4 linked regions of the Stegostoma tigrinum genome follow. The protein of the gene in region 1 purifies or fractionates together with the protein of each later gene. This does not show direct contact. Links are inferred from orthologs where the notes say so. Each region holds a gene or a part of one and is shown in the gene's direction. Other genes may lie near its edges. The genes, in order: esr2a, surf6, serine/arginine-rich splicing factor 2-like and ube3a.

Region 1 (7,524 bases):
GGAAGTTTCCTCCTGCATCTAGTCTGTGAACTCTATGAGATACTCTTCCATCCTTCTAATCTCGAACGATTCTGTGATTGGGCGATATTTGCCAGATATTCCTGAGTGAGCAAAAAAGCTGCGCAGGCAGTCACTTAATGATGGTCAGTCAGGCTCACAGTATGATACATAGGAACAAATTGGAAGCTCCACACATTAATACAAAGGGCCATAAGACCATAAGACACAGGACCAGAAATTAGGCCATTCAGCCCATCAAGTCTGCTCTGCCATTCAATCGTGGCTGATATATTTCTCAACTCCATTCTCCTGCTTTCTCCCCATAACTCCTGATCCCCTTGACAATCAAGAACCCATCTATCTCTGTCTTAAATATACTCGATGTTTCCTACAGGCTGATTCCATGCACACAATGTAACAGTTAACAGTCAGTCATCATATCACAGGTGCATTGTGTAAGGCAACATCTTTAGCAGCCTGAAGAAGCTCTGAAGAAGAATCAGATTGGACTCTATGTTAACTCTGCATTCTCTCCACAGACGCTACTGATTTTTAGTAGCACTTTATTTTTATTCCTGATTTCCAAAATCTGTGCCTTATATTCTATTTTTCTTTCCCAATCTGGGCCACTTGCCATCCTCACAACTCCCCTCTTGCAGTATAAATGTCAGTTTCCCTTCACTTTGGTATTCTTGCAAATTGTCCTGAATGGTACAAGATGGAAAGTTTTTTCTATGCAAAAATGCGCCTTTTCTTTTCTGCAACGCTCATGCAAGTCTCTGTCTTTCCAATAATATTCCCTGACTACCGTCTCAGCTAGCCTGCTTTTGAGATTAAGGTTATGTTCCCTTGTTGCAGACTCCCCTTCTTATCTTGTTATGAGTTTGGATCAGAGATTTAGTTTTAACTGGGGTCTCTGCCTCTGTCAGATGGAAACTGTTCTGCTCTTTTGGCTGGGATTTACAGGAGATGTTTCAAGAGGCCAATGACAATATTTAGCTTCTTGGCTTAGTATGTCCAGCAATCATCATTTGAAGCCATCAGTTATCAGGATTTGATGAAGGAGTGTTTTGTAGGGACCCTCTGTCAGACTCAGAGTCAGTCAGAAAGAAAACAAGTTAGTATATTATCCCAACCAGCCTGCAGTTTAACGACTCTGTGCAGATAACAATCTGGAAAGAATCTAGATTCATTTTTATAATTAAAGGCAGATTAGTGAGATGCTTTGAAGTCAATTTTAAGACTTGAAATTAATTTGGGAATTGAGATTAGATCAGGAACAGCAGGACCAATATGTGAACGTTTTGGAAAAATGTTCACATCTAGCGGTAACAAATCAATCTGTGAGATTGCTGGTTGATGCAGTGACTCCTTTCAGAAGGATTGGAGTTTGAAGATTGGTTCAGATAGAGAGCATCTGAGGACAACAGCACAGCTCCTTTCATCCTGAGAGCCTGCTTTTACCATTCCACACGAGCTGGAGGCCACTCAGCCCCTTGACAATGTCTAGGACATTTCCACATAGCCCAGTGGCTGTTGTTCCCATCCTGGATGCAGAAGGTTGTGGGGTCGTCCCAGGTCTAGAGACTTAGCAGAAATGCAATATCGGTATTTACTGAGGGAGTGCTGCACTGTCTTGGCCACTGTGCTTAGGCATCACTCTCACTATGGCCCTGAATCATTATCCAAATTAACCCCTCTGCCCCATTCTCTTCCTCTGGCCCATCAGTCACCAAACTAATCCCACTGCCCGCTCACTCCCTGTAGCCCTGTATCAATCCCAAACTAATCCTTCGATCAGATCTCCCTCCAATTCTCTCTCTCCCAACGGGAACATCAGTTTCTCCAGAACAAATCTGGAGTTAAACTTCTCCGATCCCTGGAACCAAACTTGCTTCCCTACACTGTCCCGAAGGATCCTGCTCCCTTCGCGTAGTGTGGTGCCTTGACTGGGCTCAAGGCCCTGGTTGTGGCCTAACTGCAGCTTTACGGGGCAAGAACAAAAATGACTGGAGAAACACAGCAGGTCTGGCACCATCTGTGGACAGAGAGGGAGAGAGAGACAGAGATAATACATCGATTCTAGTTACCTTACAATTGAACTGACTGTAGCTGGGTAGGGATGGTATATATGTCTGAAAGAGCATCATTTTGTTTTCTGCTTGAGGACCCCACAGGTTTTAGGGCTCAATATTGAGAACAATAATGTTTGGGCCTGGGAACCTCCTTTCTACATCCTTTCTTCAGCCTCTGCCATGATTCTGGCTGATTTCCACACAGCTAACCATTTTCACCCACTAATGGCTCTTATTATCAGACTTATTCTGTCTCCCTGACTTACTATTACCCACTGATTTGTCTGCAAACTCACTCCCAATGGGTCCATCTTCACCTACTGCACACTCCTTTACCTCCCCTACCCCTTTATCCCCCTCCCAACCCCTGTCTTCAGCATAAATACCACCTTTTCCTAGCTACCATCAGGTATGAAGAAGGGTCACTACACCTGAAATGTTTACTCTGCTTCCTCTCCGCAGGTGCTGCCAGACCTGCTGAGTTAGGGCAGCGGTTAGCACTGCAGCCTCTCAGCACCAGGGACCCAGGTTCGATTCCAGCCTCGGGTGACTGTCTGTGCGGAGTTTGCACATTCTCCCTGTGTCTGCGTGGGTTTCCTCCGGGTGCTCTGGTTTCCTCCCACAGTCCAAAGATGTGCAGGGTAGGGTGGATTGGCCATGCAAAACTGTCCCATAGATTCCAGGCATGTGCAGGCTAGGTGGGTTTGCCTTGGGAAGTGCAGAGTTACAGGGATGGTGTGGGTCTTGTTAGGATGCTCTTCAGAAGGATAGTGGTGACTGGATGGACCAAATGGCCTGCTTCCACACTGTCAGGATTTTAGGAATTTTTCCAGCAGTTTCTGTTTCAGATTATTTTTTAATATACATCTGTGGGAGGGCTGGGTCAGTACTAATTGCCTGTCCTTAATTGCCCCTTGAGAAGATTGTGGTGAGCTCCAGTTCTTTGTTTTATTTCAGCTTCATGAATGCTCAGCACAACTTCTGTGTTTTCTCGAACCCTCCATTGATGAGTCTGTGTGCTTTATAATCCAATTGTCTCCTTCCGTCCGGTCGCTCTCATAGTCAACCCCAGACCCCCAAGTCATCAACAACTCCTTATAGCCCAGCAATTAAAGTCTACGTCTCACACCTCACCACCCCCATCTCTTCTGTCTCACACCTCACAGCTCTCAGAGAACAATGACCATGCTAAATGAGGCTGTTCGACCCACCATTCTTGTGTTGGTCCTATTCCCTTCTGCCAATCTCCTGCTTTCTCCCATAATCCCTGGGACACCATTCTTACCCAAACCCTCTCAATGATCCTGCCTCCACTACATTTCCAGGCGGTGTATTTTTAAAGTCTTAGTGAAATGTAGCTCGGGTTGTTATTTCAATTGTTCATTTCTTTGCTGATCTGGTTGTTCCATGGTGTGCAAACATTTTCTTACCCTACGAGGCAACATCATCACTGCAATCTCTGATTATCAGGCAGTGCATTCCATATCCTAACTACTCACTGGCTGAAAAAAAACTTTTCCCATCTCCTCATCCTTACAGCATCTGCATGTCGATCCTCACGAGTTGCTAGCCTGCTCTGAAGCTAGTTCCTAGAATCCAAACATTGTGGAATCAGGCCATTCAGCACATCGAGTCCACACTTACCCTCTGTAGAGCATTCCACCCAGAGTTACATCCCCACCCTTTGGCAACCCTGCATTCAGCACGGTCAATCCACCCTAACCTGCACATCTTGGACTGTGGGGGGAAACCGGAGCACCCAGAGGAAACCCATGCAGACACGGCGGGTGCAGCTGAATGAACACAGCAGGATCCTAAGATGCTGCTTGGCCTGCTGTGTTCATCCAGCTCCGCACCTTGTTACCTCGGATTCTCCAGCGTCTGCAGTTCCTATTATCTCAGACATGGGGTGGGGGGGAATTGTGCAAACTCCACACCAACAGTTGCTCAAGGGTGGAATCAAACCTGGGTCCCTGGCACTGTGAGACAGCAGCGATAACCCCTGAGCCACCCAAATTGGTATAGTTGGCATGCTGCTCAGTCTTTCTCACTCCTGCTAGTTCTAAACTCTGCATTGCTATAACCACGGGATGCAGGTACGGGGAATGATGGGGCTGGTTGGCCATGGATTTATAAAAAAAAGAGGACATTGACGGTTCAGTAGTTGAAATAGATGTGAAGACATAAGAATGTCTGGCCTAGACCCGCTGGTGGAATAGCAGAACACCCTCCCATCTCCCCACTGTGTCCATGTACTTTGGTGAGAGTCAGAGGGAGGAGGGGATTTGCAGGAGGAGTTGGAGGGAGGGGGTGTTGGAATGGTGCTGACTGACAACTGCAGATGGCGCTGCCTTCCCAGGGCAGTAAGTGGGAGTGAGAACACTGGCAGCTGAGCAGCGCTTCCCACCAATAGCTCTGTGTGTGTGTGTGTGAGAGAGAGACAGCGCAGCTGCATTCCTCAGCCTCCCTATTCCCTCCCCAGCTCCAGGGAGCAGCTTTGAGCTGGGGCTGCACAGAGACGCAGAGGCGGGGAGGGAGGCAGCAGCTGGAGACTGTGGATGCTGGAGGCCAACAGCGAGGTACCTGAGTTTGACACAACTTTCAGCAGGACCATGGACCGGGAGGAGCTGCTGAAGAGACGGTGAGCATCTGAGAGCAGCCTGCCCTGTGTACACACTCTCTCTCTGGGTACCCTCTCTCCTTGGGTCTCCCTTTTATCCCCTGTCTATCCCTCCCTCCCTTCTCCCCCAACTCTTCCCTCCCTTCTCCCCCAACTCTTCCCTCCTACCCCATCCTATTTCACATTCTCCTCGCTCCTGTCTCTTTCCCCACTCTCACCTCTCTCTCTCTCTCTCTCTCTTTACAACTAACTCCCGACACTTGTTTTTCATTGAGCTGTGATTTTTTTTTCTGAAACGCAGCAATCCTGTTAAAATATCCTGTCCGGGGAAATGTTTTCTTTTAAACGCCCACGTCCTCTCGCGGGCGACTTCAGATCCCTCCGTGAATTTCAGACTTCATGTGCTGCCCCGGACCCCCAGCATCCTGGGGTGTGGGGGCGGGAGAGAGAAGGTACTGCCCAGTGACAGGGGGCACGGGGGCTTACTCAGAAATTCCCAGCTGTGTTGTGTTTCATTCAGGGACTGAGCTGGACACTCGTGTTCACACTCAGAGGGTTTCGGTCCCCTCCGAATCCGGACTTTGATGTGGTGCCAGGTCTCACTGCACCCCTGAGAGGGCAGCCAGGGGCTATTGCCAGAGAGCGCACTCTCCCAGGCTCCACTGTGAGTGCTGACTAGCTATTTGGCCACATCAGGCATCACAGCAGAATGGGATCCTCACACTTGCCTCCCGTCCACACCCCCCCTCCTCTCTCATTTACTCACTCATTCTCCGCCTCTTTCTCTCTCTCACTCATTCATTCATCTCTCTCGCTCTACCTCTGCTTCACGTCTCTGTCACCACCCACTCCTCCCCTCTCTCTCACTCCCCTCTCCACTCTTTCTCGCCCTCTCTCCTTTTCCCCCCCTCTCACTCCCCCCCCCCCCCCCGTCTCCCTTATTCAGAGTTGGGATTGAAATTGATCATGGACTGGAGTGTAATAATTCCCCAATTTGCCCCAGTTTAGGGCCTTAGCAGTAGCCTAGGGGTAAAAGTCAGCAGGTCACAAATGCCTGAGCCACCCCATTCCCCCCCCCCCAACACTGGGCATTGCCCCCAGGCTGCTGGGGGAACTGGGACCGCACATAAGTTGGGATCACGTTTATTGGAAAATGTACTTCCGGCACCAACACTGATCATCTGCATCCCCAGCCAGACCACCCCTACAAATGTGCCTGAAGGGTTCTACATCCTGAGACAGCCTGGTCAGTGCCTGTGTGTAATCACCTGTCCAGGTGAGGCACATGAAAGCCAGTCTCAGTGAACAAACTGTAAACATTATCCCTGTGTGAAGGTGGCTTTGGTTCAGTGCTCACTGATTGAGAACCTGGTGTTGGCTTTGTAAATATCATCTGGAAGCCTTGGAAATGGTGTGTGTGAATGTGTGTGTGAGAGTGAGTGTGTCTGTCTATGTGTGTCTCTGTAGTGTGTGTGTGCGCGCATCTGTCTGTGTATGTGTCTGTGTGTGTGTGTGTGTGTGTGGGTGTGTCTGTAGCGTGTGTGTGTGTGTGTGTGTGTGTGTGTGTGTGTGTGTGTGTGTGTGTGTGTGTCTGTAGTGTGAGTGTGAGTGTGTTCCCTTATTCCTCCAGGTGGTGGTATTACTTAGTTTTTGAGAGAGACGTAGCTTATTGCAACAGATTGCTGAGTCTCCGTTAACCCTGCATCCTTCCAGTGCTGTTAGAGCATTCCACACTCAGTCACCGGTTAAAATATTGTTACAAATCCAGCCACAGCCCATGTTCAAGCAAAAAGCTTCACTCAGGTTGGAATCTTTGCTTTAGAGAAAACTCTCACACTTTCTTTTCTCTGTCTACGATATACCACGGACAGTGAACGTGCCCCCCTGCCCTATTCTCCTCTCTGGCCATCTCTCCTGCTGTTGTATTCACAATAGGGGCCTGTTCTCAACTGATCTGCTTAAGTGTCAGTAGGACAGAGGTAGGAATTGCATTTCAATATCATCCTTCTCATCCTCAAGATGTCCTCAAGTATTTCGCAGGTGGTATCTTTTTAAAGTGTGGTCACTGTTGAAAACATTGGTCAAGCAATTTGCACGCAGTGAGCCCCCATAATATGTCCTGTGATAATAATCAGAATATCTGCTTCAAAAACATAGAGAGATGGTCTCAGTGTTTTTGAAATGAAACATTGGTCAGGACACTGGAGAGAGCTCCCCTTTGCTTCTTAAATTGTGACTGTGGAATATTTTGCATCGACCAGAATCGGCTTGGACCTCAGTTCAATGTCTTGTAGAACAGAGCACCTCTGAGAGTGAAGCAGTCCCTCAGTACTGCACCAGAGGGTTGGACTGATTTTTCAGATTGAGACGTAGATAGAATTTTAGAATTAACAGCAATGCATCGCTTACCTGTTGGACCATCTCTTTTAAGACCCTACGATTGAGGCATCTGGATCCAGAGACTTGTCAGATGCCAGCTTCTTCATTTCGCTCAGTCCCACTTCCCCAGTGATTGTAATCTCACTGAGCTCCTCACTCCTGATTTACTGCTGTTACTGAGATGGCTTTCATCCTCTACAGCGGAAACTATCTGTTCATTTCGTCCACTATTTCCTTACTGTCTGCTATTAAATACCAATTCTCCTACTCTAGAGGTATTTAATCTTTTCCATTTTAAATACTCTCTTCCACTTTTAAACACTCCGAGCTAGCTTTGTCTCATAGTCTAATTTACTTTTACTCTGGATTAATATTTCAATCATATTCTGCTTTCTTTATACTCAGACTAATTATCCGACTTGCCACTTAACTTTGAACAGTCATGTGCCT
Region 2 (7,106 bases), on another chromosome or scaffold:
GAGCCAGCCAGTGGTTTTGGTTCAGATAGCAATGCTCTCAAAGTGCTTTGATAGCCTTGAAACAATGCAGTTTTTTTTATTTTCAAAGAAATTATCGCGTTAAATGGGGGTCTGTTCAGTCTTCAGACCCTCCGGTGCATCAAATGCACGTCAATGTAGTCTTCTAGTTCGTTCTGTTAAACTCAAAATCTAATGTTTGTTTCCTTGATAAGCTGCTGTACAGAATCAAACTCCATTTGTGATTTTTTAAATGAATAAGGTATATTTTTGAAATTAAAAAAATTAAATCAGAAAATACTATTACATCTAAATGTTGAAAACACTCAAAAATATGTTTTGAGCTAATTTGCTCCATTCATGTCAGTTTCTCTAAAATCTCTTGTGTCACCTGACCTCTTTTTCTGACCTACTGAAATATTGGCTAATTTTGTATGGGTTTGGGGGTTTTCAATGGGCCCTTTCTTTTAAAAAAGTCTTTATTATACTGACTAAATTTTGAATTAACACAGGATAATATAGCACTGACTGCATCAATCAACAGTGCAGAAACAGTATTAATTGTTTTGCAGAGATAACAAGGTGTAGAGCTGGATGAACACAGCAGGCCAAGCAGCATCGTCGGAGCAGGAAGGCTGATGTTTCAGGCTTAAACCCTTCACTTTTCCGTGTTCTGGAGGTAGACTGCAAGTTTTAACTGAAATGAACAGGTGCAGAAAATAATGAAAAAGGCTGATGGAATGCTGGCCTTTATATCCTAGGATGGTGACGGCGAGCACGAGGGGTCATAGCTTTAAATTGAGGGGTGAAAGATATAGGACAGATGTCAGAGGTAGTTTCTTTTCTCAGAGAGTAGTAAGGGAATGGAACGCTTTGACTGCAACGGTAGCAGATTCGGCAACTTTAAGTACATTTAAGTCATCATTGGACAAGCATATGGACGTACGTGGAATAGTGTAGGTTAGATGGGCTTCAGATTGGTATGACAGGTCGGCACAACATCGAGGGCCAAAGGGCCTGTACTGTGCTGTAATGTTCTATATCGAGAGGAGTAGAAGAGGAGTACAAGTCAAGGTCTGGACAAATAAAGCCCTGGCTAGATCAGATGTGGAGTATTATGAGCAGTTCTGGGACACACCTTAGGAAGATATGTTTTCTAGCACTAGAGGAAGTGCAGTGTGGGACAGTTGAAGGTGAGATTACACAAAATACGGTATTATTTAAGGAGTGATCCACTCAAAGTTTCTAAAATATGAAGGGGAACAGATAACCATACAGGCTGAAACAATATCTGTTCATTTGGAAATCTATGATTAAGCAGCATTATTTAAAATTAGATCTAGATCTTTCAGGGTAAGTTACAAAGAAAGGTTTTCTACAGTACTAAAGTGGCTACACAGGAAAAAGGTTTTAATTGGTTGCAAAAAAAATTGAGTCATTCTGTTGTCAACAAAACACATAAATGTAAATTTTTTTCTTTAAAGCTTGAACACTATTCTGTGAACAGCAATTAGTGCTGGATCAACTACCTGTAAATTAAAACCTTAGATTGATAGATTGTAGCTAATCAGAGGAGTTAGAGAATATGAAACATAAATGGGTATATCAAGCTATGTTGCTAAATTGGCCATGGTCTCCGTTGGCTGAGGAGAAAATCGGCCTATTCAATTGCATACGTTCTTCAACTTTTTCTTGTATCGAGAAAATAGTTTCCAGTCTTTTCAATATTCCCTAATCACTACAACCTCATAAAGCCTCATTTTTAACAGACGACACAAATTAAAATCAATCATAGTTTTTAACTTTTGAAGAAGGGTCACTGCACCTAAAACACAGACTGTGGTACGCCTCAAAAAGATGCTGCCAGACCCATCGAATTTCTCCAGTAAATTTCTGGTTTTGGTTTCAGATTTTCAGCAGTTTTTTGGTTTACTTTTTTTTTAAACTTGCTGCTGCTAATACGCGGCATGCTTGCCAATGCTACTAATCAGAGGGCACAGTGGGAGATAATGGGACCTGCAGATGCTGGAGAATCTGAGATAACAAAGTATGGGGCTGGATGAACACAGCAGGCCAAGCAGCATCTTAGGAGCACAAAAGCTGACATTTCAGGCCTAGACCCTTCATCAGAAAAGGGGATGGGGAGAGGGTTCTGAAATAAATAGGGAGAGAGGGGGAGGCAGATCGAAGATGCATAGAGGAGAAGATAGGTGGAGAGGAGCGTATAGGTGGGGAAGTAGGGAGGGGATGGGTCAGTCCGGGGAGGACGGACAGGTCAAGAGGGCGGGATGGGGTTAGTAGGTAGGAAATGGAGGTGTGGCTTGAGGTGGGGATAGGTGAGAGGAAGAACAGGTTAGGGAGGCGGGGACGAGCTGGGCTGGTTTTGGGATGCAGTGGGGGAAGGGGAGATTTTGAAGCTTGTGAAATCCGCATTGATACCATTGGGCTGCAGTGTTCCCAAGCGGAATATGAGTTGCTGTTTCTTCGGGTGGCATCATTGTGGCACTGCAGGAGGTCCAGGATGGACATGTCGTCGAAGGAATGGGTGGGGGAGTTGAAATGGTTCGCGACTGAGAGGTGCAGTTGTTTATTGTGAGCTGAGCGTAGGTGTTCTGCAAAGCGGTCCCCAAGCCCCCGTTTGGTTTCCCCGATGTAGAGGAAGCCACAACAGGTACAGCAGACGCAGTATACCACATTGGCAGATGTGCAGGTGAACATCTGCTTAATATGGAACGTCATCTTGGGGCCTGGGATGGGGGTGAGGGAGGTGGTGTGGGGGCAGGTGTAGCACTTCCTGCGGTTGCAGCGGTAAGTGCCAGATGTGGCGGCGTAGGAGGGGAGTGTGGACCGGACAAGGGAGTCCCGGAGAGAGTGGTCTCTCCGGAAGGCAGAGATGGGGATGGAAAAATGTCTTTAGTGGTGGGGTCGGATTGTAGATGGCGGAAGTGTCGGAGGATGATGCATTGTATCCGGAGGTTGGTGGGGTGGTATGTGAGAACGAGGGGGATTGTCTTTTGGCGGTTATTGCAGGGATGTTCAAGGACTGCAACTTCCTCCCAGCAGTGGTCAAGAACGCCCTCGACCACGTCTCCCACACTTCCCACACCTCCTCCCACACCCCCATCCCAGGCCCCAAGATGACTTTCCACATCAAGCAGATGCTCACCTGCACATCTGCCAACGTGGCATACTGCATCCACTGTACACAGTGTGGCTTCATCTACATTGGGGAAACCAAACGGAGGCTTGGGGACCACTTTGCAGAACACCAAAGCTCGGTTCACAATAAACAACTGCACCTCCCAGTTGCGAACCATTTCAACTCCCTCTCCCATTCCTTAGGTGACACGTCCATCCTGGGCCTCTTGCAGTGCCACAATGATGCCACCTGATGGTTGCAGGAACAGCAACTCATATTCCGCTTGGGAACCCTGCAGCCCAATGGTATCAATGTGGATTTCACCAGCTTCAAAATCTCCCCTCCCCCCACTGCATCCCAAAACCAGCCCAGCTCGTCCCCGCCTCCCTAACTTGTTCTTCCTCTCACCTATCCCTTCCACCCACCCCAAGCCGCACCTCCATTTCCTACCTACCAACCTCATCCCGCCCCCTTGACCTGTCCATCCTCCCCGGATTGACCTATCCCCTCCCTGCCTCCCCACCTATACTGTCTTCTCCACCTATCTTCTCCTCTATCCATCTTCAGTCTGCCTCCCCCTCTCTCCCTATTTATTTCAGAATCCTCTCCCAATCCCCCTTTTCTGATGAAGGGTCTAGGCCAAAAACATCAGCTTTTGTGCTCCTAAGATGCTGCTTGGCCTGCTGTGCTCATCCAGCTCCACACTTTGTTATCTCAGAGGGCACAGTGGGCATCAGTCGTGGAGTGAAGCGAATGAAGAAGTTTGAGGAGATCCAAGCCCCTTCAACAACCCTCGTCCTTGACATCCTGCAATACCTCACCTCAACCGCTAGGACGGGGTTCTATGTGTGACGCATCACTGCGCCAGGGCGTGAAGCCGGCCGCAGAATGATGACGTAGGAGATGCACTTGGTAGCGTGTTTGAAGTGGGATTGAGTTTAGTGTTCATCACCTTGTTCTTCAATACCTTTCGATCAGAACTAGTCACTTTTGTTTTAATTTGCTGTCCACCTAACGCTTAGTTTTCCACCGGTTCCGTCCTTTACTTCCGTGGTGTTTGAGTTCTCCCCCTTTTATTAGGAAACAAACTTGGATCAAGGAATGGCTGATCCCAGCCTCGCCGCCAAAGACAAGTATTTTCAGATTTTGGGAAGCAAAGTGTGCGCATCCCAGAACCAGGAACCTCGTAAACGAAAGCTGGGTAAGGAACGCGTTACTCATCGTAATATGAAGGGATTTCCTGGCTTTCGTGATTTAATGAATGACGAGGAACGAAAGCAGTCCTGGTAGTACTATTCAAAAAGTCATACATTGTACAAGAAAATGCTATTATGGAAACTTCTAACTGAATTCCTCCAGCTTTACCCATCTCCGAGAATTGCGACCCCGCACCGTGCGGAGACATACTTCAACTTTTGTACTCCCCAAGCCTTGAAATCATCCCCCGAAATATCATTTTCTCACATTCTGTGTCACATCCTTTTAAAGTGCTTTTGAAACCGGCATTCTTGACCAAGCTTTTACTCATGTGTCTTCATACGTTCTCCTTCAACAGAGATAGGAAAAAGCCAGAACGTTGCTTTGTAGGAGGATGAGAACGTGCAGATTGCCTTTGAGCCCTTTAATGCATCCATTGTAGGCCTTCAAGGTCAAGAGTAAACTGACATTTTGTATGGAGTGGAAGTAAACCTATTGGAATTGTAGAATCAGGAGGTGACAATGTCATGAATAGGATTTCAGTAATAGATGAACTGGAGCAAGAAGAAGTGGAAATAGGTGATTTTTTTTGTATCACTGAAGGTGTGTGGAGTTAGAATCTCCACTCTGTTGTGTAGGATGATGAGGCTAAGAATGTGTTTTTTCAGTCTGTGGTGGAGAAACAGATGGAATAATTGGAAAAGTTTGAGCATGTTTGTGAAACAAATTGAAAAGTTGGTTACTGTCTCTCCAATATTTATGTGGAATAAACTGTAGTTAATCCAAGACTGAATGTTAGATAAGCATTTTAACAATATGGGAGGTGAAGAGATGTCATGGGACGTTGTTACCTTGCATATGAAATACATCCAATTTCTGCACAATGCTGTCAAGGTACGCTACACAGATGAGTAAAAGGATCCAAGCAAAAATTGATCTTTCAGGAATGTTGAGGCAACAGAGCGTGTGAAAGAATTAGCCACTGCAGCAGATATTCTGGATACAATTTAACAGATGAGGATGCTGAGTGAGTGTCATTGTACTTCGCTGAACAGTAGAGGGGGTGGTTGGTGTGACAGAAGTAAGGAACATGTTCCATGGCATTTAAAAAATGAATTAAACCATACAATGTATCATCTGGAGAAGGAGAAACAAAGAGGTCATTGATTCTAAAAGTTGAATATTTTTCTTTCATTGATGCTGTTTGACCATATGCAGCAGTTAATTCTTATCCCGCATCCACAGTTTTTTTAAACATTTACATTTTACTATTGCAGAAACTAAAAGTAAATTGGCATTATAAAAACATGGCAGAAGTGAGGATTAGAGTTTGGTGGATTGCAGGCTAACCTTTTGGAATTGTGGAATCTGGAAGTGTCAATGGCAGTAACATATTTTCAGCAATAGATGAAGGCAAAGGGAGGTGGAAATGGCATCTACAGAGTTCCTACAGCATTTTCCAAACCCATAGTCCGGTGCCTGGATGGAAATTGGCAGCAGATGCAAGGGAATAAAACCATCTGGTGTGCTTCTCCAAATGATATGTCATCATCACTTGGAATTTTTACGAAAATGAAAATACTGCAAACACAAAGCTGGAGAGAATAAATTAAGGTTAGTATATTGTGTTGAGGCCCAGATGCAGTGGCTCACTGAAACAACAGTATCTTTTGTTTTGAATACTGGTAAGTGGGTGGTTTCTTTCTTAGAAATCATGCAGATAATTATAATGTTACAGTGTGGAGATTAACTTGGAGAAATTTTCAAGTGATGCTGTTAATTATTAAATGTGAATTAAATGAAATTTTGAGTCTTGTTTAGATTATATGTGGTTTTGTTTGTGGTTTTTTTTTAGTTTCGAAGAACGAGATCTCAGAAGGTATGACCCAACCTAAAAAGAAGAAGAAAAGAAGAAAGGAAGCTCCTAAGGAGTTGAAAAATGTTCAACCAATGAGTGGGGGTCAGCCTAAAACTGTTCAAGGTGGAGTGAAAATGGACAAAATCAAGAAAAATACCAGAGGTTTGAGAACTATATTTTGCTATGAGTGCTGTTATCCTATTCTCCACTGGGGTAGTGAATTTAATCTTTCACAATTTAGTTACTTAGATTAAATGCTTCTACCTTCATTATTATCATTACCTTCAGATTTGATTATTTCAATGCACTCTTGGCCGGTCTCTTACATTTTACCTTCCATAAACTGGAGGTCATCCAAAATCTGCTGCCTGTGTCTTGATTCACAGTGAGCCTTGTTCACCAAACACCTCTTGTTCTCTGCCCCCCACCACCTCCTCTGTTTTCTGCATGTAAACTGATGTTTTCCCAGCTACTATCTGTTCTGAGGAATAATCACCAGATTCGAAACTCTGTTTTTTTTTTCTTCACAGATGCTGTCAGACCTGCTGAGCTTTTCCAGCAACTTCTATTTTTGTACCTCCTAACTGATCCACTTTGGCTCCCAGATAAATAGGCTCTGATGTTAAAATTCTTATCCTTGTTTTCAAAGGCCTCTCGTCTACCCCCTCCTAACATCTGTAATAGATATTTTTTAATCGTCCTGTTCAGATGTTATTACAACATCTGTCTGGTGCAGGTAGAATTTGAATCCTGACCTGCTGGCCCAGGGATAGGGATATTACCACTGCAGTGCAGGCGTCTCAGCATCAGCCAAGCACAGACAGCCGGGACTAGTTTAGTTTGGGGGAATGTGATTGGTATGGACTGAGGAGCCTGTTTCTGTGCTGTATGCCTCTGTGACTGTAATATCATCTA
Region 3 (7,832 bases), on another chromosome or scaffold:
CACATCAAGAGCATTGTAATCACCAAGCCTTTCCATGACCATTCACAAAGATCCAGTTAATAAACAGAATTGCCCCCATGCACGTACATGAATAATCTCACTTAATGGCAGAATCTGATCTATACCTACGGACATGTAAATTCAGTCTCTGCAGTTAAAGCTGTCAATCAAATTTCATCTTTAATCCAGTCAAGAAATTCAAAAGTTCTAGATTGAAAATACTTCCAAATCCAGTGTATGACTGGATTCAAACAATAAATTCTTCATTTTTGGCACAGAATGAAACACATACAAGAGACATTCCTAACATGACAGACACTCGTACCAGATTTCCGTTTCTCAAACAGCTTTGCTGACGACCAAACTTGACAAGTTTTATCCTACGAACTTGAATTAGGGCTATCAAGTTTATTTCATGCTAATTCCTCAAAACACACATACACATTTATAAGCATATCACATCATACCTATTACTCATGTTGCCAACAACATTACGAAAACTAACACAGCTGTATGATCTAGTGTCTGTTTATTGAGAATTCTATCCCTTCCAACAAACTTTATATTGTTGAACCTTTGTTTTTCAGTAACAGAGACAAAACTGATCATTTGGTTCAAATTTGACAATAATCACTGGTACAGCAACTTGAAAGTACATGGAATATTTAAAAGTAGTAAAAGATTCCAAGGCATTTTACAAGTAAATAATTAGATAAAAACTGACACCCAGCTAAAAAAAGGACATATTAATGATTAAAATCTTGTTTAAACAGAAAGGTTTTAATAAACATCTTTAAAAGAATCAATGATACAGAAAGCTTGAATTCCAGAATTTGATGTCTATACAGCTGAATGCTCAGCTACTAACATTGGTGTGAATGGGGTGGAGGATGCAAAAAAGACAAGAGTTAGAGGAACAGGGGTGGAGGAGGTCACAAAAATAAGGAAAGGCATGGTTATGGATGAAGTTGAAAATATGGATAAGAAGTTTAAAAATCAATGTGTACTGAAAGCCACTGCACAGTGGCAAAATCAGTTTTCTACCATTTACAGTACTTTCAAGTTTGCACTTGTGAGATTCTCAAACTTAACACCAACTTTTCGTTGCAAATAATCTTCAACGTTTAATTGAATCTTGACGCATGAAGCTTAAAAGCAAGTTATACCAAGAAATAAATAATATTATCAACTTTTGATCTGGGTAGGGAGTGTAACCTTTGTCAATAGTATTCATTTAAATTGCTAGGAATTACAATTAAAAAGGTTCAAAATCTTTTGAGTGTGAGTTGCACACAGCCATCCCTTAAAATGATACTATACTTCAGGTATCTAACATATCCACAATATTGTCACGTTTGCCTATGATAAAGGCTTCCCTATCATTCTGAACGCCACTGATACATCATTAACTATTCCCCGCTCACAAACTCTCCCTGACAACAAACCTTCTGGCTGTTAAAAGGCATCCATACCTTGAACAATCCTAAAATGAATAACTTCATCCATTTTATTTCTAGCTATATGACAAGTCTACAAACTATTCATATACAAAAAACCATCATATGAGATTAAACCAATCCCTATATATATTAGAAGGCTTTTTACACATTAAAGCAAATGTAGCAACATTAGTAGGGAGCATAACCAGGATGGGACAAAGTGATAATTTTTAGTGGGGATCAAGCATGGCATGCCAAGGTGAGAAGTGACTGAGTGTGTCGACTGCTACTGTTAGTGATTAGACACCATTCTTTTTAGAAAAGCAGAAGAGGTAAGTGATCTGCACATACTTGGTATGCAACTATCTTAAATGGTTAACTTTAATTTTATTAATTCATGGGGTGAGAGCCAGGCCAGCATTAATTGCCCATTGAGCAGTCAAGCACATTTCTGTGGATCTGGAGTCACGTTTAGCCAAGCCAGGTAAGGACAGCAGTTTATTTCCCTAAAAGGAATTAATAAACCAAATGGACTTTTCCCGGCAATCAGTAATGGTTTCACGTTCATCATGAGACTTTTAACTCCAGATCTTTAAAAATTCAATTGAAACATCACGGCAGCATTCAACTTTAGGTTGCTTGAGCATTACATGGGTCTCCTGGTTAATAGTCTGGCTATAATACATTAGACTATCAACTCTCCTAACTTGTTAAAATGTTTTTCAAACTATGCACTGCTCACACACACAGCTTCAAAGTGTCTAAAACAACATTTCTGCAGCAAGAGAAGGAAGTTTAGCTTTGGTGATAATGGGAACTGCAGATGCTGGAGAATCCAAGATAATAAAATGTGAGGCTGGATGAACACAGCAGGCCCAGCAGCATCTCAGGAGCACAAAAGCTGACGTTTCGGGACTAGACCCTTCATCAGAGAGAGGGATGGGGTGAGGGCTCTGGAATAAATAGGGAGAGAGAGGGAGGCAGACCGAAGATGGAGAGAAAAGAAGATAGGTGGAGAGGAGAGTATAGGTGGGGAGGTAGGGAGGGGATAGGTCAGTCCAGGGAAGACGGACAGGTCAAGGAGGTGGGATGAGGTTAGTAGGTAGGAGATGGAGGTGCGGCTTGGGGTGGGAGGAAGGGATGGGTGAGAGGAAGAACAGGTTCGGGAGGCAGAGACAGGTTGGACTGGTTTTGGGATGCAGTGGGTGGAGGGGAAGAGCTGGGCTGGTTGTGTGGTGCAGTGGGGGGAGGGGACGAACTGGGCTGGTTTTGGGACCGCTTTGCAGAACACCTCCACTCGGTTCACAATAAACAAATGCACCTCCCAGTCGCAAACCATTTCCACTCCCCCTCCCATTCTTTAGATGACATGTCCATCATGGGCCTCCTGCAGTGCCACAATGATGCCACCCGAAGGTTGCAGGAACAGCAACTCATATTCCGCCTGGGAACCCTGCAGCCCAATGGTATCAATGTGGACTTAACCAGCTTCAAAATCTCCCCTTCCCCCACCGCATCCCAAAACCAGCCCAGTTCATCCCCTCCCCCCACTGCACCACACAACCAGCCCAGCTCTTCCCCTCCGCCCACTGCATCCCAAAACCAGCCCAGCCTGTCTCTGCCTCCCTAACCTGTTCTTCCTCTCACCCATCCCTTCCTCCCACCCCAAGCCGCACCTCCATCTCCTACCTACTAACCTCATCCCACCTCCTTGACCTGTCCGTCTTCCCTGGACTGACCTAACCCCTCCCTACCTATACTCTCCTCTCCATCTTTGGTCCGTCTCCCCCTCTCTCCCTATTTATTCCAAAACCCTCACCCCATCCCCTTCTCTGATGAAGGGTCTAGGCCCGAAACGTCAGCTTTTGTGCTCCTGAGATGCTGCTGGGCCTGCTGTGTTCATCCAGCCTCACATTTTATTATCTAAGATTAGCTTTGGTTTCGTTTTTGATCGTGACCTAATGAAATCTGCCAGAACCCGCTAATATGTGGATTTTAGACACCAGCAAAAAGACTCAGAACTGATAAGCGCAGCAATCTATTGTTACTTAACAAAGTCCAAAACAAAGAAAAGCTAGAGCTTTGATAAGATCCTATTCCACATTGTATACACTCACATATACATTTGAAAGCTTCATTTTAAAAGAAAAAAATTGCATCACAATTTTACATTTCCTTCTTCAGCCTGAAAAATGCAATAGGTTTAATGTATGAAAATATATCTCGTGAAAACTTCAAATTAAACTGCACTTAAACCATCTTATCAATCCAAAACCTACATCAGCAGTTTCATAGATAAACTCATCAATAAACACCCACTTCCTTTACAGATTTTCAGGGCAGTTAGACATTAAATTTATATTGAAAGTTTCAAAAAGCTTCCAAAGAAAACAATAAAAGTTACTAATTCCTTCCAACATTAAAGGAAATGATGGAAATCGCATGAATTCAGGTTCAAGAACTAAGCACTCACTTCTATGTTGCCGCCAGTTTGAAAGGCACTGAAAACTAACAGAAAGCCGCATCCCAAAATTATGACATTCATGAGTTTTGTTCCTTCTGGTGTCATTGTTAAACATCTAGGTATTTGCTTGGTGCACTGTTTTGTGGGCTCGGTAATAAGTTTTAGTTTTGACTGGCGAACTTCAAAATGATATTCTTTCAAATTCCAGGCTTTCGGTTGCAATGAGAATTTTGTTTGGAAAAACGGCTGATTCTCACTCTCTTTTCATCGTCACTCGCTCAGCCTTCTTCAACTGCTCCTCGCTCACTCATTTCGTCCTTCCCCTTCCCTCTCCTTCTTCCTGCCTTGCTCACTCCCCTCATCAAACACTCACTCCCTCACTCAGTCAGTCTTCTTCAACTACTCCCCACTCAGAAATCACATCAACCGCCACAATACCGGAAACACCAAGCGCGTGCGCCGCAATCGGAAATTAACGTTAGTCTTTGAATTTTTTTTCCTCTCAAGTTGATTGAACTTGATGTTCCAAAGCGGATAACGCCCCGACTGACGATTTCCTGCTTGACAACGAACGCAATGTTGAATGTCGTTGGCAGCGATGAATATGAACCGAATGAAGAGCAGGAGGCAAGTAAACTACAGTTCCCAGGGGGCGCCGCGGTTGCGGTGATTTAATTCCTGAGTCAGTGACGGAACAAAATATACGGAAATTATTATGTTGGCCTTAAAACATAGAGTGCAGCGAAAAAAAGTTTTATTTGAAGTTGAAATGTGCGTTTTTGGGACATCCTCCCCCTGGCGGTTTGGGTGTGTTTCCGGGTGACGCAGGCGCCATCTTGTGATTGTCGTTGGGCCAGGCGCTGGTTTTCTGGCGGTTTTCTATACAGAGCCGGCTCTATCACAGTCTCCTTCTAACTTACTGCTGTTCGGAAGCTAGGTTGATTTGTAGCGATGAGTTACGGACGAATGCCCCCCGATATCGAAGGGATGACTTCGCTGAAGGTGGACAACCTAACTTACCGCACGTCGCCCGAGACGCTGAAGCGCGTGTTCGAGAAGTACGGCAAAGTGGGCGACGTTTATATCCCCCGAGACCGCTTCACCCGGGAGAGCCGCGGCTTCGCCTTCGTCCGCTTTCACGACAAGAGGGACGCCGAGGATGCCATCGACGCCATGGACGGCGCGATGCTGGATGGCCGGGAACTGAGGGTGCAAATGGCGCGCTATGGCCGCCCGGCCGAGTCACACCGCCGAGGAGGCTCGTCCCGACGTTACGGTGGCGCCTACGGCAGGAGAAGCCGCAGGTTGGTGGGCGAGAAAGGGAGGGGAGGGTGGCGGCATCGCCGTGCTTCATTGGTTCTCTTCCCCTAAAAGTTTTGTGTGGCGGATCGAGTAAGGCACGATCAAGCTCAGCGCCCTCCACCCCTCTTGTCACCCATTCCTTTATGAACTTGTGGGAGTCGCCATTTCTTGGGGCTGGTCAAGAATTCTCGGGAACAAAAACAGAAGTTGCTGGAAATGCTCAGCAGGTCTGGTAGCATCTGTGAAGAAGGGGGAAAAAACATCAAAGCTAACGCTTCGGGTCCGGTGACCCTCCCTCAGAATTTCGGGAACTTGCTTCAGTTGTGATGGTAGGTATCGATTTCAACTTGTTCAAGTTCGGCTGGTCCTCGCCGTATAAACCTGCCTCGAAAAGGCAACAATTTTGGTTTAACTTCAAATCAAAAGCCCGGTTAGAGTTTTAAGCAACAAGTTTCGCTTCTTTCATCCCGAGTAGATACACATTTTCCTTTTGACAGTATTTTTTTTTAATCTCCTATACTGCCAGCTAATAGATACCGCGCCGAGGGAGGCTGTTTTCACAGGCTCTAGACAGTTATTAAAAACTGACTCTTTTGTTGCTCTTCTTGAGATAAGGATGTGCTTTACTGAGCCTGGGCGCAAAGGGTTTTGTGTCGTACAGTTATCACTCCTGAGATACTGTGAACTGGAGTACTTGGTTAAAGACGCGTTTATTTCATTTATTCGTGGTTGAGCAAATATTTAGGCAGGGGAACAGTTATAACAGATAAGTGATACCATTTTTTTTGATCTCGCAACATTCAAAGGAAAACGGAGATCAGTAGTAAACGTATATAATGGACGTTCTACAGAAATGAAGCATGTTCCTAAAAAGAATCTATTGCACCCCATTGTGAATTCCGTTTGGAATGAATTTTATAGACTTAGTTTCTGAAGTATTTCTTGAGTTTTGACCCTGATCTAGTTTATTGAGTTCCATGTATTTCTGTGTTCTAAAGAACAACTGTTTCTCATAACATGGTATTTCAAACCATGTAAACCTCTAGTGGGGGCTTGGTTGACTTTTTGGCTGTGTCAGCTTTTAGTAATGTGAGGACAACTGATTGTCTGTGGGTGCCATACTCTGCATTTGGAGAGAGCTGATGCTAACCATTCTGCTTTTTGGCAGCTGCGAATTACAGACAAAGTGGCATTCAATAATTAAATTGACACATGGGAGAATTGCATGGCTAAAATAGTTTAGAGATTTCATAGAAAAGCACATGTTGCTGGAAAAGCTCAACCTGGACCCAGAACGTTAACTCTGATTTTGTTCTTCACAGATTCTGCCAGACCTGCTGAGCTTCTCCAGCAACTTCTGTTTTTAATCCTGATTTACGGTGTCTGCAGTTCTTATGTTTTTTATTTAAAGATTTAATAGTTGTCTTAATTTCCCAATGTGCATGGGCTTATTGTTTTTAATATAAACCCAGTGAAGTGGAAAACTGTATTATGTTGTGTTTAATGAGCTCAAGAGGGAGAGAGTACTTATGGATAGGTAACAGTGCCTCTTGGAAAGAAACATCTCTAGGGGGGATTTCAGATAGTGAAAGGATTATCATCTTCTTTGCCCCTTGGTTACATTTCCTATCATTGTCACATACACAGATTAAAACTTGCACTTGAAGGGAGGCATTGAGAGATGATATTACCTATGAAGCTCAAATGCATACAGCTTTGGGTGTAGAGGGCTGTGAAAATTGGCAAACAATGGTTTTGTCAGAGATTTTGTACTTTTTATTATTTTCCACTTATTAATCTTACTAAAACTTTCCTTTCTCAGTCCGAGAAGACGACGTCGGTCCCGTACAAGGTCCAGAAGTCGAACTAGGTCAAGATCCCGCTACAGCAGGTCCAGGTCTCGCACCTATTCTCGATCCAGATCTCGTTCAAAATCGAGGTCTGTTGAAAGATCAAGATCGAAGTCAAAATCTAAATCAAAGTCAAGGTCTCGGTCTGTATCAAGATCTAGGAGTGGATCGCAAATGTCTCGAGGATCCAAGTCAAAATCCCGGTCGAAAACCCCCATATATTCAAGATCTCCACAGAAAGATGGAATTGGATCACCATAAAAAAGTGGTAAATTGCACCAAAGTGAGTAAATACACGAAAGTAATAGCATTATTTTTTGAATCATTCTCGAAAGTAATAATGCATATTTACAGCTTTACGGGTGAATGAATGACTAAACTATTAAAGTTGCTTTTGGTTATTGAGAAATTCTGAAAGGGGAAGTCTTGATGCTGACTCCATTGAATTTCCATTATTAGTCATGGGAGATAATTTTCCGACTACCGTTTTGTTGTTGAAACCATAGTATGTTAGTTTACCAGCATGTACGTACCTCTGTTTGTGCAGCTGAAACATTAATTCCTTAATGCCAATTCCACACGGACAGTTAGTAAATAGTACTGCAGACGGAGTAATCCTGTGTACTTGCATAATTTGTGAATTAATGAATTTAGTTTGATCAGCATCAAGGAATGAAAGTTCTGTAATTTCCTCTTAAATGTGACATTTTTGATTGAAAATCTGCAGTGCTTTGTATTGACCATGAGCCATTGTGATGCTGGTGGTTACCTCTTTGA
Region 4 (7,475 bases), on another chromosome or scaffold:
AACATGATCAACTCCACTCATCACTATGTTAAAATTCAAATTCTAAAATTATATTAACTTACAGATACCTTTCATCACAAAGATGCTTCTGATCAAATATACCGTTGTTATAACACAAGTGCTCGACGACCCTCGTGCCTCTGTGCAGATTCTTGATTTTGAACTCTCAGCTTGTCCCCATGTTAGTTCTCTATTGTAACAGGACTTAGCAAATGGATCTTAAGAGGCCTGGATGCTTCCCACCAGTTGGGGGGCTGGCGGTGTGGGAGTAAGGCACAATTCACTTCAGGCACGGGGAGAGGATGGACAGAAGGTGAAACGACGTAAGTGGAGTCACATCTTTGAATCACTCCAGCCCCTCACCAGACTAAGCCTCAGTCGTAACAACCTCCACCCCCTCCCTACACCTCATGTCCCCAACAACTACCTTTCACATCAGGCTTCCCCTGATCCATCTTGTCCCACGCAGATCCCTTTAGTGCACTCCCATTTGGCTGCTTCAGGATTCTTACATGCCTTCTGGATTCCTTCTCTCAAGGGACTCCCTTGACCTCTTCTCTCCCACACACCGACACAATTCAATGTGACCCAATCCCTCAACTTTCAAAAGCATTACTTCTGCGAGCACTTGATTTTGTGAATATCAAAATACTGGTATTCAAGTTAAAATTAAAAACATCAAAAATGGAATGAGGAGTCAGAAACAATTTCAAATGAAAAGTCACAGAACCTTTAAAGCACAGACAAAATATCTTTTAGCCTGTCCCATCTGTTCTGGTCATCAAGCATCTTTCTAATCTGAAACGAAAGTAGAAAGTGCTGGAGAAATTCAGCAGGATTGGCAGCATAAGTGGAGACAGAAACAGAGTTAATGTTTTGATTCCAGTATGATTCTTCAGAACTAGTTCTTAGTTCTGAAGAAGAACCACATCAGACCTGAAATCTTGGCCCTGTTATTTTCTCTTCACAGATTAGATTAGATTCGATTCCCTACAGTGCAGAAACAGGCCCTTCAGCCCAACAAGTCCACACTGCCCTTTGGAGCATCCCACCCAAAACAATCCCCCTATAACCTACAGATCCCTGAAAACTACGGGCAATTTAGCATGGCCAGTCCACCTAGCCCGCACATCTTTGGACTGTGGGAGGAAGCTGGAGCATCCGGAGGAAACCCATGCAGACACAGGGAGAATGTGCAAACTCTGCACAGACAGTTACCCAAGGCTGGAATCGAACCCGGGTCCCCAGTGCTGTGAGGCTGCAGTGCTAACCACTGAGCCACCGTGCAGCCCCATGATGTAGAAGACCTGCTGAATTTTTCTAGCAATTTCTGCTTTTGTTTCTGATTTGGGTTATTTTTTGTTGAGTGAGGAAATCAGCAGGCCTGGTATTATCCGTGGGCAAGTGTGTGCAGGAGGGCTTCCTGACATAGTATGTAGATAGGCCAACAAGGGGCGAAGCCATATTAGATTTGGTACTGGGTAATGAGCCTGGTCAGGTGTTAGATTTGGAAGTAGGTGAGCACTTTGGTGATAACGATCACAATTCTGTTATGTTTACTTTAGTGATGGAAAGGGACAGGTGTATACCACTGGGCAAGAGTTATAGCTGGGGGAAAGGCAATTACGATGAGATTAGGCAAGATTTAGGGAGCATAGGATGGGAAAGGAAATTGCAGGGGATGGGCACATTAGAAATGTGGAGCTTATTTCAAGGAAAAGCTCCTGTGTGTCCAAGATAAATATGTACCTGTCAGGCAGGGAGGAAGCTGTAGAGTGCGGGAACCGTGGTTTACGAAGGAGGTGGAATCTCTGGTCAAGAGGAAGAAGAAGGCTTATGTTAGGATGAGATGTGAAGGCTCAGTTAGGGCACTTGAGGGCTACGAGATAGCCAGGAAAGACCTAAAGAGAGACCTCAGAAGAGCCAGGAGGAGACATGAGAAGTTGTTGGCAGATAGGATCAGGGTAAACCTGAAGGCTTTCTATAGGTATTTAAGGAATAAAAGAATGACGCAAGTAAGATTAGGCCCAGTCAAGGATAGTAGTGGTAAGTTGTGTGTGGAGTCAGATGAGATAGGGGAAGCGCTAAATGAATATTTTTCAACAGTATTCACTCTAGAAAACGACAATGTTGTCGAGGAGAATACTGAGATACAGGCTACTAGACTAGGTGGGATTGAGGTTCACAAGGAAGAGGTATTAGAAATCCTTCAGAGAGTGAAGATAGATAAGTCCCCTGGGATGGATGGGATTTATCCTCGGATCCTCTGGGAAGCCAGGGAGGAGATTGCCGAGCCTTTGGCATTGATCTTTAACTCGTCATTGTCTACATGAATAGTGCCAGATGACTGGAGGATAGCAAATGTGGTTCCCCTGTTCAAGAAGGGGAGTAGAGACAACCCTGGTAATTATAGACCAGTGAGCCTTACCTCAGTTGTTGATAAAGTGTGAGAAAAGGTTATAAGGGATAGGATTTATAATCATCTAGAAAAGAATAAATTGATTAGGGATAGTCAGCACGGTTTTGTGAAGGGAAGGTCGTGCCTCACAAACCTTATTGAGTTCTTTGAGAAGGTGACCAAACAGGTAGATGAGAGTAAACCGGTTGATGTGGTGTATATGGATTTCAGCAAGGCGTTCGATATGGTTCCCCACAATAGGCTATTGTACAAAATGCGGAGGAATGGAATTGTGGGAGATATAGCAGGTTGGATCAGAAATTGGCTTGCTGAAAGAAGACAGAGGGTGATAATTGATGGGAAATGTTCATCCTGGAGACCAGTTACTAGTAGTGTACCGCAAGGGTCGGTGTTGGGTTCACTGCTGTTTGTCATTTTTATAAATGACCTGGATGAGGGGGTAGAAGGATGGGTTAGCAAATTTGCAGACGACACTAAGGTCGGTGGAGTTGTGGATAGTAACGAAGGATGCTGTAGGTTGCAGAGAGGCATAGATAAGCTGCAGAGCTGGGCTGAGAGGTGGCAAATGGAGTTTAATGCAGACAAGTGTGAGGTGATGCGCTTTGGTAGGAGTAACCAGAAGGCAAAGTACAGGGCTAATGGTAACATTCTTAGTAGTGTAGATGAGCAGAGAGATCTCGGTGTCCACGTACACAGATCCTTGAAAGTTCCCACCCAGGTTGAAAGGGCGGTTAAGAAGGCATACAGTGTTTTAGCTTTTATTAATAGAGGGATCGAGTTCCGGAACCAAGAGGTTATGGTGAAGCTGTACAAAACTCTGGTGCGGCCGCACTTGTTGTATAGTGTACAGTTCTGGTCACCGCATTACAAGAAGGATGTGGAAGCTTTGGAAAGGGTGCAGAGGAGATTTACTAGTATGTTGCCTGGTATGGAGGGAAGGTCTTACGAGGAAAGGCTGAGGGACTTGAGGCTGTTTTCATTGGAGAGAAGAAGGTTGAGAGGTGACTTAATTGAAACATATAAAATAATCAGAGGGTTAGATAGGGTGGGTAGGGAGAGCCTTTTTCCTAGGATGGTGACAGCGAGCATGAGGGGACATAGCTTTAAATTGAGGGGTGAAAGATATAGGACAGATGTCAGAGGTAGTTTCTTTACTCAGAGAGTAGTAAGGGAATGGAACGCTTTGCCTGCAACAGTAGTAGATTCGCCAACTTTAGGTACATTTAAGTCATCATTGGATAAGCATATGGACGTACATGGAATAGTGTAGGTTAGATGGGCTTGAGATCGGTATGACAGGTCGGCACAACATTGAGGGCCGGAGGGCCTGTACTGTGCTGTAATGTTCTATGTTCTATGTTCTAAGGGTCGCCTGAAATGTTAACTCTACTTTCCCGTCACAGATGCTGCCAGACCTGCTGCGTTTGTGCATTTCTGCATGTGTTCCTGCAGAGTTTAACCTTTGATGATGACTATCTCTGAAAACTTACTCCTAGGCTGTTGGTTGGTTAGCTCAGTTGCTGGACAGCTGGTTTATAGGGTAGGGGAAGTCCTATACAGCCTGGGTTCAAGTCCTGCTGCTAGCTGAAGCTCCCATGAAGAACCCTCTTGCCTGAGGCATGAGAAGACCTTCATGTTAAGGTCTTTTTCTCTCTACGGCGGCTGCACCTTAATGACACAAAGTTGTGGCACAACTGGGGCTTTAACTAAGTGTGAAGCTGGATGAACACAGCAGGCCAAGGAACATGCTGCTTGGCCTGCTGTGTTCATCCAGCTTCACACTTTATTATCTTGGATTCTCCAGCATCTGCAGTTCCCATTATCTCTGGGGCTTTAACTATTTGAGTTGTGGGGAGGTGCTGCTCCTTTAAGAGACCGGATGAGCGAGGGGGCGGGGCGAAGAGGAATGGCAGTTGCCATGCGCGGCGCAGCGCAGTCTGGGAAAGCGCCAGCGGGTGAGTCGCCCTCACACCAAGATGGCGGACCGGGGAGGCCAGGAGGAGCGGAGGCTGCAGGAGCAGCAGCGACAAGAGCGAGGTCCGGGCCAACGGTGGTGTTAGAACAGCTGGGCACCGACACGACACGATAGGGGAGCGAACAGAATTCGTTGCCGCGCTTTTCTGCAGGGTAAAATCTGCCGGCGGGAAGCGGAGACTGGGAGTGAGCCGGACGCTCAGCCGCCGCCACCAGAGGAGAAGGCGACTCGTTTGCGAGGCCGGGGAGGGAAACATATAACCACACATACGCGTCCCTCCCACCTTGGAGGCCTGTCCGCACGCCGGCCCTTGGGACAGGAGCGGAAAAAGAAAAGCCCAGGCTGGAAGGCAACCCGCTTTCGTATGAATTCCGCCGAGGCCAGCTCGGAGTGTGCGCCACCAGCGGCGAACGCAAGGTCGGTGTTAGTTTAAAGCCAACGCACCATCCCCTTCTCCCCACCACTCCGACCCACAACCCTACCCCCACCCTGGTGACCAGGACTCAGGGCCTAGCCTTTTATCTCTGTTTCGCTTTCCTTAATACCAATACGTTTTGTCTGATTAGTTAGCTTCACGTTTTGTATGTCCTTTCGGCCAAATAGTGATTTTTTTTTAAAAAAATACGAATTTATTGGTTTTGATTTTTGTTTTGGTTAGGAACTTGTTTGTTTCCTTCCTAATCTCTCGAATTTAGTTTTCCCTTACCGCCCCCCCAAAGAAAGTTAACCTGTGTCATATCAGATCCTGGGTTCCTGCTCGGTTTCCTGCTGAAGGTGAGGCCCCCGAAAGTTGATTGGTTGCCCTTTGGCGGGTTGGCGAAAAGGGTTTGTTTTTGCTTTGATGGAAAAACAGTATTGAAAATGCTACTACGAATGTCACTATCCGTGCAGAGAAAACACAAGTTAATGATCCTTCATCGCAACTCGTGTAGATCTTGGACCTAATTGGTTAATGCTGTCTCCCACTTCAGATGCTGCCTGTCCTGTGGAGTATTTTCAGTGGTTTTTGTTCACCTTTCAAATTGTACTAGATGCTGAAAAATGTCTATTACATAGATATTCCAAGTTAGGCATTGTGAATGTGGTCAAATTCAACTTAAATTGAAAAAAATTAATGCATAGTGTACTTTTTTCCAGCAATAACATGCTGTTGCAGCTAAATTGGTTGTTGCAACTTACTGGAGGCTCTGCTATGTTTAATTGGAAATGAAAGTGAGCTATGCAGCAAGAGAATATGACACCCTGAGGTCAAGATATTCTGATTGAAAGGGGGGTGTTTGAGGTTGAAGTCCTTTGCAGTAATTTTCTAAAAATACTGGAGAAACTCAGCAAGTCTGGCAACATCTGTGGAGATGGAACAGTTAATGCTGTATACAGTTTGAGCCAATTATAACTGTCTTTCAGAACCTGAAGAATCATGTTGAAATTAAAATGTTATCTCTGTTTCTCTGTTCACAGATGCTGGTAAATCTGAGTTTCTCCGGCATATCTTGTTTATCTTTCATGTCTCCAGCATCCACAGTATTTTGCTTTTATTGAAGTTGTTTGCATATTGCTGACAAGTAGTGCATAGGGCCAGATTTAAAGGAGAGAGTTGATTGTATAAATTATGAACTATTAAGTTGTAATGATTTGACAAGATTGTAGTTTGTAAAGCCTATCATAATGAAATCTGATCTTTTAATGGGCTTTATAAATAGGTACTAAACAAAAGCAAACATTTTTATTGGTTCTGGTGTCCCTGGAATTAAGCTTGCTACACCATTTCAGAGGCATTTGAGTCAGTTATGTTGCTGTGGGTCTGAAGTTACGTTGGGCAGACAAGGTAAGGACAGCAGATTTCCTAAAAGAGATTAGTGAACCAGATGGGATTTTAACAACAAATGAGTCTGGTTATATGATTACCACTAGACTAGCTTCTAACTTCATATTTTTAGATTTAAATGTCAACCTGTACCAGATGTAATTTGAACCCATGTTCCCAGAACATTTAAAATCTAGGGATTCTGGATTACTATTATGTTTACATTATCACTGTGCAACCATTTCCCCAGAAGCTAAATTTGCCAAACCAACAAACAAAATTTCACTACTTATTATCATATGGTGGGAAAGGGTATTTGGGGATAGTGTGGTAGAACTGACTGGATTTCTCAGAATTGGCACAGATTCAGTGGCTTGAATCATCTCTTGTGATGACTGTTGTAATTTCAACTGGAAACGTTGATAAATTGTGTTGTTTACTTATTGCAAGTAGCTCAAGGTAACATATCTGTTAGCAGGCTTCTATTCTGTAAATTGGTTTATTTCTTTGGAATCATGTTTTGCTTACAGTGACTGCAGCAGTGTAAAGTATGAGTGACGTCTTTCCTGTTATCCAGTCAGTTCTACCAAGTTCTTGGACTTGTACAATTCTCCCTATCCAGGGGCATCAGTTGTTGTCCTCCGTCTTGTGATGAAGTGGAATTGCGGCCTGAACAGCGCACGAGTATCTGAACATCATCTTGAATATTGCATTGCCCCAGATAGCTTCAGGATTTAGTAAATCAATAATTTTAATAAAACTTGATTGAGAGCAGTGCTGTGCCAGTTGGGTTTTAATGATCATATGTAAATATTAACTTGTACTATCACTTGCTCAGTGAAAAATCTTTCTTTTGTTTTACATATAACAACATATAATACAAATGGAGTGATTATCTTCACAAAATGTAGATATTTCAGATTTGGGTTTGGTGCAAAGTGTAGAAAAATATAATCCGCAACAGGGATTTCTACCCAGATATGAAGTTTCTTTCTGTTGAAACATTGGTTGATCAAGTGGTATTATCTAACTAATTTATTGCAAGAGATTAGATTTATTTCTGAATTGGCCATAATGGTCATTCTGCTTGCCTTCAAAATAACTTTGCTATGAATTGTTCTGTATTTAGGTCGTAAACACAGTAGAGTTGCTACAGTTAGTTGGACTAGGGAGTTCTGATCACATACGTTTGCACAGACAAGACCAGAATACCTCAGATCGGCTCTCCAGATGGTGAAGTTATGTAAGTGTATCTCTTCCTTGGCTTAGCATCCCAC

What was found.
Region 2: the proteins of esr2a (region 1) and surf6 purify together in Homo sapiens (affinity purification with mass spectrometry; 3 studies listed by BioGRID and IntAct, with this or other methods). This does not show direct contact. The link is inferred for Stegostoma tigrinum from reciprocal best matches to the Homo sapiens genes ESR2 and SURF6.
Region 3: the proteins of esr2a (region 1) and serine/arginine-rich splicing factor 2-like purify together in Homo sapiens (affinity purification with mass spectrometry; 3 studies listed by BioGRID and IntAct, with this or other methods). This does not show direct contact. The link is inferred for Stegostoma tigrinum from reciprocal best matches to the Homo sapiens genes ESR2 and SRSF2.
Region 4: the proteins of esr2a (region 1) and ube3a purify together in Homo sapiens (affinity purification with western blotting; 4 studies listed by BioGRID). This does not show direct contact. The link is inferred for Stegostoma tigrinum from reciprocal best matches to the Homo sapiens genes ESR2 and UBE3A.

Annotation. Positions count from the first base shown.
Region 1 is NC_081363.1:3,531,923-3,539,446, reverse strand, and holds the start of esr2a (estrogen receptor 2a), read left to right. Parts: upstream 1-4,522; 5' UTR 4,523-4,633; coding exon 4,634-4,716; intron 4,717-7,524.
Region 2 is NC_081364.1:19,300,344-19,307,449, forward strand, and holds the start of surf6 (surfeit locus protein 6), read left to right. Parts: upstream 1-4,019; 5' UTR 4,020-4,237; coding exon 4,238-4,337; intron 4,338-6,188; coding exon 6,189-6,353; intron 6,354-7,106. UniProt on the Homo sapiens protein: Binds to both DNA and RNA in vitro, with a stronger binding capacity for RNA. May represent a nucleolar constitutive protein involved in ribosomal biosynthesis or assembly.
Region 3 is NC_081375.1:31,151,492-31,159,323, reverse strand, and holds the start of serine/arginine-rich splicing factor 2-like, read left to right. Parts: upstream 1-4,672; 5' UTR 4,673-4,854; coding exon 4,855-5,207; intron 5,208-7,027; coding exon 7,028-7,316; 3' UTR 7,317-7,338; intron 7,339-7,832. Other genes in the region: UNC93-like protein MFSD11, read right to left, coding at 3,913-4,008.
Region 4 is NC_081359.1:94,324,301-94,331,775, reverse strand, and holds the start of ube3a (ubiquitin-protein ligase E3A), read left to right. Parts: upstream 1-4,362; 5' UTR 4,363-4,758; coding exon 4,759-4,811; intron 4,812-7,327; exon of another isoform or gene 7,328-7,441; intron 7,442-7,475. UniProt on the Homo sapiens protein: E3 ubiquitin-protein ligase which accepts ubiquitin from an E2 ubiquitin-conjugating enzyme in the form of a thioester and transfers it to its substrates.